Macaca mulatta: one gene and its partners. Each later gene encodes a partner of the first gene's protein in a complex. Links are inferred from orthologs where the notes say so. Each region holds a gene or a part of one and is shown on either strand. Other genes may lie near its edges.

The links.
Region 2: the proteins of NTRK1 (region 1) and NGF are in contact, whole or in part, in a crystal structure (PDB 1WWW), measured with the Homo sapiens proteins. The link is inferred for Macaca mulatta from reciprocal best matches to the Homo sapiens genes NTRK1 and NGF. Residues at the interface, in NP_002520.2 of Homo sapiens: His291, Val294, Glu295, Met296, His297, Cys300, Pro302, Phe303, Ser304, Leu333, Glu334, His343, Gly344, Cys345, Arg347, Thr352, His353, Met379, Asp380, Pro382; in NP_001424474.1 of Homo sapiens: His125, Pro126, Ile127, Phe128, Arg130, Gly131, Glu132, Phe133, Ser134, Ser138, Ser140, Trp142, Tyr173, Phe175, Arg180.
Region 3: the proteins of NTRK1 (region 1) and SHC1 are in contact, whole or in part, in an NMR structure (PDB 1SHC), measured with the Homo sapiens proteins. The link is inferred for Macaca mulatta from reciprocal best matches to the Homo sapiens genes NTRK1 and SHC1. Residues at the interface, in NP_002520.2 of Homo sapiens: His489, Ile490, Ile491, Glu492, Asn493, Pro494, Gln495, Tyr496, Phe497; in NP_892113.4 of Homo sapiens: Met176, Arg177, Ala178, Leu179, Ser259, Ile260, Ser261, Phe262, Ala263, Ser264, Gly265, Gly266, Lys279, Asn283, Arg285, Ile301, Ile304, Gly305, Phe308, Glu309, Phe312, Lys313, Gln314, Tyr315.

Annotation. Positions count from the first base shown.
Region 1 is NC_133406.1:110,063,705-110,067,373, forward strand, and holds the start of NTRK1 (high affinity nerve growth factor receptor), read right to left. Parts: upstream 2,930-3,669; 5' UTR 1,427-2,929; coding exon 1,137-1,426; intron 1-1,136. Other genes in the region: INSRR (insulin receptor-related protein), read left to right, coding at 3,645-3,669. UniProt on the Homo sapiens protein: Receptor tyrosine kinase involved in the development and the maturation of the central and peripheral nervous systems through regulation of proliferation, differentiation and survival of sympathetic and nervous neurons.
Region 2 is NC_133406.1:124,982,703-124,985,936, reverse strand, and holds the end of NGF (beta-nerve growth factor), read right to left. Parts: intron 1,495-3,234; coding exon 757-1,494; 3' UTR 605-756; downstream 1-604. UniProt on the Homo sapiens protein: Nerve growth factor is important for the development and maintenance of the sympathetic and sensory nervous systems.
Region 3 is NC_133406.1:112,039,218-112,042,584, reverse strand, and holds the end of SHC1 (SHC-transforming protein 1), read right to left. Parts: intron 3,333-3,367; exon of another isoform or gene 2,954-3,332; intron 2,217-2,953; coding exon 2,088-2,216; 3' UTR 601-2,087; downstream 1-600. UniProt on the Homo sapiens protein: Signaling adapter that couples activated growth factor receptors to signaling pathways. Participates in a signaling cascade initiated by activated KIT and KITLG/SCF.

The DNA of each region.
Region 1 (3,669 bases):
TCTACTCCTGGTCTCCCTGGAGCTATTAGAGAGAGAGATTGAGTACCTTCCTGTTGATTACCATAAGATACCCGAGTAACTCAGTGCCAATTAGTGCAAGCTGCTCAAGTAACTTCCAGACATTGATGATCCTCACCTTGATACCTTCCAGCCCATCACTGCATGGGGCCAGGGTTCCTTGTCCACCCTGTAAACCCCAGGCCCCAGGAGGAGGATTTTCTCGCAGTTCCTCCCCTCTTCTAGATGTCTTGCTGGCCATGATAGCCATATGTAATATTCAAGTATTTTCCAGCCATCACCATGTGATGCCTGAGTACCTCCAGGCCAGTCATCACTGCATACTCCCATAGGTTTCACCAGCTGCTGAAAAGTACTTCAGTATTTTGTAACCAATTCCTGCAGAATGTCAGAGTCCTGCAGAATGCTGAAGATTCCTCCCAGCTTTGTGTACCAAAGGGAGGAGGGTCTCTCAGCAAGGGCCCTGACTCCCCGCCCCGGATTGGAGAGGGAGATGGGAGTGGGGAGAGAAAATCCAGGAGGGGGTCCCATTTCCCAGATCCAAATCAAGGGGTTCTGGGGAAAGGAATGGTAAAAATGGAAAGAGGAGAGCTCAACCACCCAGCTCCTTACCACCTCCCACCAATGCCAGCCAGCTCAATCCCCAATTCCAGGAGAAAAGCTGGGGTTGCCTCCTCATAACAAGGAAGTGGGTGGGGGCTGGCTTGCCCCTTTCCCTAGAAAAGGGAAAAGGTAGTAAGGGTGTCAAACTGGGGACTTCTCTGCTGGTAACCACCTTTCTCTGTTGGACAGAGCAGGAGCCTCTGACTGAGCTCAAGAAAGCGGCTTCTAGACGGCTAGGCTCTCTCAGACCTGGTGCCCAGAGATTCTCCCCTCGATCTCCCTGAAGCCGGCGGCCCAGCTGCCCTGAACACTAGGGGACATCCAGGCAGTGACCGTAAAGCTTGCTAGGGCATCGGCGGCTGCGGAGGAACGCCCGTGCACCGCCAAAGGCTGCGTCGTGCCAGCCTTCCGCTGTACTCGCCCTGCCTGACCAAGCAAACAAGCGGAGAGTCCGCGCCCTCGGGGCATGGCAATTCCTGCCTGTCCCCGCGCCCCCTCGCACGCCGGACACTCACAGCTCAGTCAGGTTCTCTGCGCCGGGCAGGTGGTGGAGGCTATCCAGGGCCCCATCCCGTGTGCATCGCAGTCCCGAGGAGCCGTGGGGGCAGCAGGCATCGGGGCAGGGTGAGGCGCCCGCAGATGCCAACATCAGCCAAGCCAGCAGGCTGCCCGGCCCCGCAGCCCAGCTGTGCCAGCCGAGCTGCCCGCGCCGTCCGCCTCGCAGCATCGCGGCGGCGCCCGCCTTGCTCCGGCGGGGCAGCCGTCTGTGCGCTCTCAGCTGCTGCTGCCAGGCCTCCGCCGACATGTGCGCTGGGCGGTGTTAAAGACCCAGCCGCCAGGAAAGGGCGGAGCCAGTCGCCCCCGCCCGGCCCCGCCCCGCCCCTCGTCTCCAGCCCCTTCTCTCCCCTCTGACGCCCCCAACTCTGCCCCCTCTCCTGTTAGGGGTCCCCAGCGTCAGCCTTCTCCCCGAGGATCCCCCCAGCTCCGGGAGATGCAGAGGGGCCGCAGCAGAACGCCTCGGAGGTGTCTGCTGAGGCCGGGGGTGGGAAGTTGATACGTTATTTCTCTCAGCTTAAAGCAGCTGTATTTTTACATTTGGGGAGGAGGGAAGATAACTGAGTTGAGGAAAGGTTGCTGTCCAGGTCATCCTAGTCAGCCCCAGACTCAGCGCTCCATCCTCACCGCGCGCGTGCCTGGGGGAGTGCGCATGTCACTTGGAGTAAGTTAGGTAGAACATTCTCCGAACTCTAGGAAGAAAAGAAAAGGACTACCAAAGATCAATCGCAGAACCTGGGGAGGAAGACACAGACCGGGCAGAGAAAGGGAAGGGTCGCTTGATCCGGCCGAAGGGAGTCCAGAGAGCCAAGACCGCGCCTCCAAGAGAAGCCACAGGGTGGCGCGAGAAGCCCGCGCGCAAAGGAGCCAGCTCTCCGCCCGGGCTGGGTGGCTGGGGGTGCGATCTGCAGCCCCCAATCAGCAACGCCTCAGGTCTCAGCTTCAGTCCCTGACCCCGGCCAGCCAGCGCCGGCCCCGGGGCAGGATAGGGTAAGGCAGGGCGGGCTGACATCGATCGCCTGCCTCCCTGACAAGAGCATCGATTTATTCGTGAAGAAATTAATAGATCTCTTAGCTCCTCCGATGCGGGAGCCGCCCGCAGGTGGAGCTGAGGACCGTGCAACTTGGTGGCCGCGCACCTGGAAAGCCCCGGGATCCCCAGCACCCAGGGCAGCAGAAGGCTGGTCCCAACCCCTCCCACCGCGCAAGCCTCTGTGGCTGCACGAACCCATCCGTCTCAAGCTGAGGAGAGCGAGGGGAAGAGGGGTCTCTCTTGGCAGGGAGACAGGCAAAGCCCCAGGGAGCAGGCGAAGGATGGCCTCCTAGAGGCTGGCAGTTCTCCTCTCCGCCAAGGCCCCAGCATGAATGGTCCCCCAAATCCCCGAGACAGGGACACACTGACCGACCAAGCAGCCTGAGTTCAAGAAGATGACCAGACGGAGGCAGAGCCCCACACAGTGATCGCCTTCTTCATCGGGATATTGGTCAGAACCAAGGGACTAGGCGGTGACGGAGCCTGGCGCTAAGGGGTCTCCAAAGAGGACTGGGAGGCCTCCTGGGAGGCTGAGAGGGGCTCTGAGAGGCCAAAGGCTGTCCACGTTCTCCCGGGTCGAGGCTGCCAGAAGTTACCCGGCAGGTGTCAAAGCACCGGGAAGCAGAATCTAGACACAGTCCTCCCCAGAAGCCCGGGCGCTGGCTGCCCCTCCGGCGGCGCAGCCCCACTTGGAAGAAGCTTGTGGTGGGGACAAAGGATTGGGGGGACCCGCTGCAGCCGCAGCGGGATTTGAGGAAGCTCAGTTCTTGGCCCACCCTTCCCCCCGTATTTTGGCCTTATTTCCCCAACAGATATGTCCTCCCCTCAGTTGTTAGGCTAAATATTTTGGCTTGGCTGGAGGGGCGGAGAGAACGGAGAGGTCCCTGCGAACCAATCTGTTTCGGCGGGGGGCGGGGAGGGCGGGAGCTGGGCGCGGCCCCTGCGTGCCTGCCCTGGGAAAGACCGCAGTCAGCGCGGTCAGCTGGCGCTGGGGGGCCGCGCGCCCAGAGGGATCCAGGGAGACTCTCCCTGTGGAGTCCCACGCGTCCCGGGACCCCCGCTGCCCTCCTTGGGAGCGGTCCCCAGCCTTCTGCTCTGCCCTCAGGGTTGGCTGGCCTCTCGGCCTGCCTTTTGCTCAGAACCCTGTGTCATTTTCTCTCTCTCCCTGTCACTGTCTGCATCTCTGTCCCCATCTCTCAATCTCATGCTGAGTCTCTCTGTCTCCAGCTGCCTGTCACTGTCTTTGTGTCTCTGTGACTCTCATTTCTTTTTTTCTGTCTCCTGCTCTCTCTGTGTGGGATTCCTTGTCTCTCTGTCCCTGCCCTCCCTCTCCTATCTGAACCCTGGTCTCTGTGTCCCTTAGGGCTTGTCAAATCCTTCTCCCCAGGGTCACCAGGAGGAGAGCCGGGACTGGACACAAACCAGGGCTGGGACAATGGCAGTGCCTAGTCTGTGGCCCT
Region 2 (3,234 bases), about 15 Mb from region 1:
GAAGTCTTTCTGCAGGAGGCTGCTGAGGCATAAACCGAGGAGTGGCCATGAGTACTAAGGCCAGCTGAACATGAAACCAGATCTACTTTGACAGGCCTCATGAGATTACTCTGTTACAACTCTTCCAGACGGCACATCTTCCCCTACAAATGAGCAGCGCACAGATCTTTGGTGCAAGCCTCGTCCTATCTATCGAGTGCCCCCAGAACTGAGACTGTGCCTCTGAGGCCAGGGCAGCCCCGTGCCCAGTGGTGATCTGCCTCCTGATGAGGCTCCACTAACTTCCCCAAGGGAGGAGACCAGAGCCCATGCTTCCAGGCGGTGGGCAGGTAATCCAATGATTAGGTAGCTTTGGCTCTGGAATGTAGAACAAAATTGCAATCCAGCAGGCTTCCTTTGCTAATCATGCCTGACTTATTCTAATATCTGAAACCAGTTAGCCTTTTCTGAAGTTGCAGCACTGGCTGGGGGTGGGGTAAGGGTTACAGGTGGGCCTTAGAAGGAGCCAGGGAGTACTTTGGACAATTCGGACAATTCCCCCTGCATCTTCCTGAGACTTGCAGATGATTTTACTGGGAAAAATAACCAGTGTCAGCACACAGGATGCTTCCAAAAATTTAATAAATAATGATTCTTTAAAACTGTATAAACTATAAATTACCATGCAGTCCTTATAATTTAAAATAATTTACAGGTTGAGGTAGGGAGGGGCCCAGGAGAGTGTGGAAGGGGCAGGGGAGGGAGCGTGTCGGCAGGTCAGGCTCTTCTCACAGCCTTCCTGCTGAGCACACACACACAGGCCGTGTCGATCCGGATAAATCGCCAGGCAGCCTGCTTGCCATCCATGGTCAGCGCCTTGACAAAGGTGTGAGTCGTGGTACAATATGAGTTCCAATGCTTTGAGTCAATGCCCCGGCACCCGCTGTCAACGGGATTTGGGTCCCGGCACTTGGTCTCAAAAAAGTACTGTTTGAATACACTGTTGTTAATGTTCACCTCTCCCAACACCATCACCTCCTTGCCCTTGATGTCTGTGGCGGTGGTCTTATCCCCAACCCACACGCTGACACTGTCACACACCGAGAACTCGCCCCTGTGGAAGATGGGGTGGGACGATGACCGCTTGCTCCTGTGAGTCCTGTTGAAGGGGGCAGCACCACCGACCTCAAAGTCCAGATCCTGAGTGTCTGCAGCTTCAGGTGGGGGCTGAGTGCTAAACAGCACACGGGGTGAACGGAGTCGCCGCTTTTTAAACAGCCTGGGGTCCACAGTAATGTTGCGGGTCTGCCCTGCCACTCGTGCAGCTATCGCCACTGCCGGGGCGCTGCGGACTCTGCGAAGGGCCGTGTCAAGGGAATGCTGAAGTTTAGTCCAGTGGGCTTGGGGGATGGTGTGTCCTGCAGGGACATTGCTCTCTGAGTGTGGTTCTGCCTGTATGCCGATCAGAAAAGCTGTGATCAGAGTGTAGAACAACATGGACATTACGCTATGCACCTGGAATGAAAAAGAAATGAGGGTGACTCCATGGAGTACTAAATGCAGTCAAAAGGCAGTTTCTGGGTCCCTCAGAGTTGACCTCCCACGGGGATCACAAAGAGATTTCATTCAAACTGGGGCATTTCTGAGAGGGAAAGGGTGTGCTAGCAATGGTTACACTGGGACAACAGGCATAAGCCGGGCTGACTCAGGCAGTATGGATGTGTGGTCTCCCCATCCAGGCTTCTCCAGGAAGGGACAGAGCCCCTGGAATTTTGCCCAGTAGTTCAGTATGAGCTTGGAAATATCAAACAGAATCCTTTGAGTTCTCTGACACTTAAGGAGGCTGAGGGAGGTGGTAAGTGTCCATGTGTGTACCAGGGAGGCCGGTGGGGAGAGTTTGACACCTCTCCCTGGCACTTGTGCCTTGATGTGATGGTGCTGTCCTGCTCAGCAGTTCTGAATCCTCTGGGAAGGCACTGGGGAGATCTGCTGGGGACATGTCTTGAAGCCTCAGCACTGGGTACCCCCTTTCAGACAGTGCACTGGGTCAGCTCTAAGATCTGGTGACTCGGAGCCCTTGTTATGAATTCACAGAGCATCATGTTTGGCAAAAACCTTGTGGCTCTGGGACCAACTTAGTCCAGGCACCTCTTCAGACACTACCCCACATATATAACTGTGGACCACATAATAGTTCCTCTTTGTGTAATGTTTTTAAAATGTTTTCACTTCTATCTTCTCATGAGTCTGTGAGTTCGATTAGGATTTATCATATTTATTTCACATATAAGGAAACTGATTCACAGAAAATGAACTAACACTAAAGCATTGAAGTCATAAATGAAAACTGAACCAGAAATAGAATCCAAAGTCGACCCCTTACTAAGCCAGTCTGTCCTTCCATCCACCCTTCCTTCTTTTCTCCCTGCCTTTCTCTTTCACTCTTAAACATGTCTTTTCTTTTTATTATTTGTTCTTATGTGACTATAGATCAAATGGTATGGATCTATCTGTCCCCAAGAGGACTCTGTACTGCACTGCAGTTACCCCACAAATAATCCCCCCACTTGGTCAAGTAGTTGTAGAATTAGTTCTCCTAGAGGGCCTCTCACTGGCCTCTGTGGCTCTCCTGTGCATACTTGTAGATGTGTAGCAAACATCAGCTCCTCTGTAAAGCTTCCATAGATCTTCTTGGTTGGATTAGAAATATCTCCTGTAAGAGTGTTCTGCAAACTTCCAATTCTATCCTTTCTCCCATCTCTCCTTCCCACTCTCATGGATCATTCTACTTCCTTTCCACACAGATACCACCTAGTCCTCGAAGCCTTTTCAGACCACTCTAACCAAAAATGATATCTTTCCATTCTGCACTTCAGAATAGCATAATTGTATGTGCATATGTGTGTGTGCGTGTGTGTGTGTGTGTGTGTGTGTGTGGTGTGTTCTCTTCTACTAAATCAGTGCAATGACAAGAATTCTGCATTGGGTCTGGGGGTTAGAAAACCTTGTTTGGATTCCTACTCCACTACTTGTTAGCAGAAGAAACCCATTTAATTTCCCAGAGCCTTAGTGTTCTCATTGATCGGAGGTGGGCAAGAAACACTATTTCCCAGAGTCATTGTTAGGATGAAGTAGGTTCTCACAAAATTTGTGTAAATTATGAGTTATTTCCGTCTTCTTGTGTCAAGGACTTTGTCTTTTGTGTTTTCTACTGCTGGGTTTACCTCTCTCAGACCTCCTTCAAAGCCATTTTTA
Region 3 (3,367 bases), about 2.0 Mb from region 1:
GTGGGACGACAGGGAAGCGCCCAGCCGCGGCGCGAACTGCGCGCTCTCTCCACACTCGCCGCCAGCCAGCGGCTGCAGCAACCGGAACCGGAACTCGGCGCGGCCACCACCACTAAGCGCGGCGGGGAGGGGGAGCAAGGACCGGACGAGACCCCACGCCAGAAAACAGGCGGCAGGCGAGGGGCGAGGCTTACCACTGCACCACGCGAGTGGAGAGGGTCGTTTCCGCTAGCGGCGGCCCACACCAGCTCACCGAGGGGCGGCGGCGCGCGGCCCTGCTGCCGGACCGTACCATCCCGGGCGGTGGAGCCACCGCGGAGGGGCGCGCGCGAGCCGAGGGCGCGCCTGGGAGGTCTAGGTAGTCCCGGGGGCCGGCGTTGCGGCGCCGGGGAGTCCGGGTTCTTGCCTGGACGCACCCGGAGCCAGCCCCCGCCCCCCGGACACAACATCTTCATGGGGACGGTGGCGCGACACGCCCCACTCTGCCGCGCCCAAACTCCGCAGACCCCCTAGCTTCCCTCGGCGGCCGCGACCTCCCGCCTCCCCGCTGTGCAGCTAAGGGCCCGCGGCGTACACAATAGGCTTCCCAGGATTAAGAGGCAGAGGTAGAAGAAATACGGACTTTAATGAAGAGTTTTCCCTTTGGTATAAGTGAGACCCGTGGAAACATCCAAACAACAGCAAAAGGAGTCCAGGATGAAAACGGTCAACTGTCCCTTATCCACAAGGCCAAAAGAGGGGCCCAGGCTGGGCCGGGCCTGTAGAAGGTACTCAGGAACTGCAGGTTTTGCGTTTCCCCTCCATGAAACTGACAGGCATTCGAGCTGACTTCTGCCTCTCAGTCTCGCGGTAAGAGACCCAAGTTTTTCTAGTCCTAGATGGAAATAAATTTCATCTGCCTCAGGTCTGGTATAAAAGGTGCGATCCCAGTTACCTCACAGGCCTGGGCGAGGAAAATGCCAACAGCTGTAAAAGGGCTTGGAAAAGTCAAAAAGGTGATGTATAAATGTAATAATTGATTACCATTTTGTGCTCGAGAATAAGCCATGGAAAACAAAATAGGAAAGTAAGTCTACAGCCCTAAAATATATGCATATAAAACTTTAAAAGAATGCAGTTCCAACTCTACAGATGGTATTTGGGGATTGTCTACTGCTTTAAGAGTCTCAATGCCCTTTTTCCCACCTCCACAAAATCCACCTGGGAGAGTGAACTGTACAAGAGGCCCAAATTCAGTCACCCCTACCCCACCCTGCCAGAAAGGGAGGCAGGGCAGAGGCTCCAGGAAGGGCTACACTTTGGCTGTAGAGTACAATAGGCATGCAACATGGGAGAGGGCAGGCCTTACGAAATGTATATACAGACCCCTTGGGGTGAGGGGCCCCGGCCAGGAGGCACTGAGCAAGGGAGGGATCCATCTCCCCCCTGGCCGGGAGGGGGGCTCTGGGGCAATCTCTAAGGGTTGCATATCCCCAGGGAGAGGGGACAGCTGCCACTCCTGCCTCTGTTATCCCAAACCAAACCGGAAAGAGTGCTGAGCAAGAAGACAGGTCCCAGAAGCCAAGAAGGTGTTGGCATCCCTGTCATTGAACTCAGGGGCCCAAGAACTCTGCATAAAATATCATCAGACCTAAGAGATGGTCAAAGGCACAAAGTTTAAACATGGTGGGGTGGGGGTGTTGAGAAGGGTCTGGGATACCCTGAAGCACAGAAGTGTGATTTGTTCCCCCTTGCCCAAAAGGGTGACTGTTCCACTGGGCCTGTCACCACAGGACATTTTCCATGACAACCACTCACTTTCTTGGGGAAGGGGCATCAGGTTGGCACAGGAAAGGCCCAGGTGAAGGGCCACTCTGTACATTAATACTTTGGTGATCAATGTTTGGGGAGAGGCAGGATTCTCCCCCAGGCTTCTGACTCAAACCCTCAAACCCTCACTCAGCTGGATATGAAACCCAGAGTCCACACTACTCCCAGCTCTGACACAAGGCCAAGCCCGCAGAACACTCCCAAATGAGGTCCCAAGAGTTAGGGAATAGGGTGGAAGGGATTGGAGGGCATCTTCTGGAAGAGAGGTCTGGGGCAGATCACAGTTTCCGCTCCACAGGTTGCTGTAGACACAGTTCGCTGCCCGCAGAGATGATGGGCAAGTGATTGTCCATATGGTAGCTGATGAGGTGACTGACACTCTCAAAGCGGTGATCCTTAGTCCGAACCTGGGAGGGTGGGAAGGAAGAAGGTCAATTCAGGTGAAGAGTCAAATAAGACCTCAGCCTCCAAGGTGGAAGAGGGTAAAACAGACAAGAGGCTTGAAGAAGGAGAAAAAAATGGTAGGGGAGAGTGTGGCCTATCAGTCCTGATCATTGAGGTTTCTCTAGAAAGAGACAGTTGCAGGAATAGACAGGTCAGTGAAGTGGGAAAAGGCAAAGGTGACATCAGCCCTGAAAGAGTGAAGCTGAGAGCTATATACCCTTTTCTTGACGTGGAAAAAGTTGGCATGTCTCAGAAGAGTATACACAGTGCAAAAAAAGATGTGGAGGCTGGGCATGGTGGCTCATGCCTGCAATCCCAGCACTCTGGGAGGCTAAGGGAGGCGGATCACTTGAGCCCAGGAGTTCAAGAACAGCTTGAGCAACATGGCGAAACCCCATCTCAACAACAACAACAAAAATACAAAAATTAGCCGGGTGTGCCACCACACCCCAGCCTGGATGACAAAGCAAAACCCTATCTCAAAAAAAAAAAGAAAAGAAAAAGAGGAAAGGAGGCTGAGATTGCTGTAGAAAACAGACAAAAGTTTGTTTGTTTCTAGACAGGGTCTCTGTCACCCAGGCTAGAGTGCAATGGCGCAGTCATGGCTCACTGTAACCTCAAACTCCTGGGCTCAAGCAATCATCAGGCCTCAGCCTCCTGGGTAGGTAGGACTACAGGCATGTGTCACCATTCCTGACTAATTTTTTGTTTTTTTTTATTTTTCTAGAGATAAGGTCTTGCCATGTTGCCTAGGCTGGTCTAGAACTCCTGGCCTCAAGCAATCCTCCCACCTCAGCTTCCCAAAATCTTGCGATTACAGGCATGAGCCACCACACCTGGCTAAACAAGGAAAGTTTTGAAGAACAGTGAGGCAGTGCAAATAAGAGAAAGCACAGTGGTCTGACTCCTGAGTCTGAGGAGCTGGAGAAGCCCTTGGATCTTCTTACGAAAGGAAACTTGCAGTGTCTAGCCTTTAACCATGTGACATTGGGCCTCACAACCTCTTCGGGGTGGTTTCCTTATTTGTAAAAATGGGCACAGATGGCCGGGCGCGGTGGCTCACGCCTGTAATCCCAGCACTTTGGGAGGCTGAGGCGGGCGGATCACAAGGTCA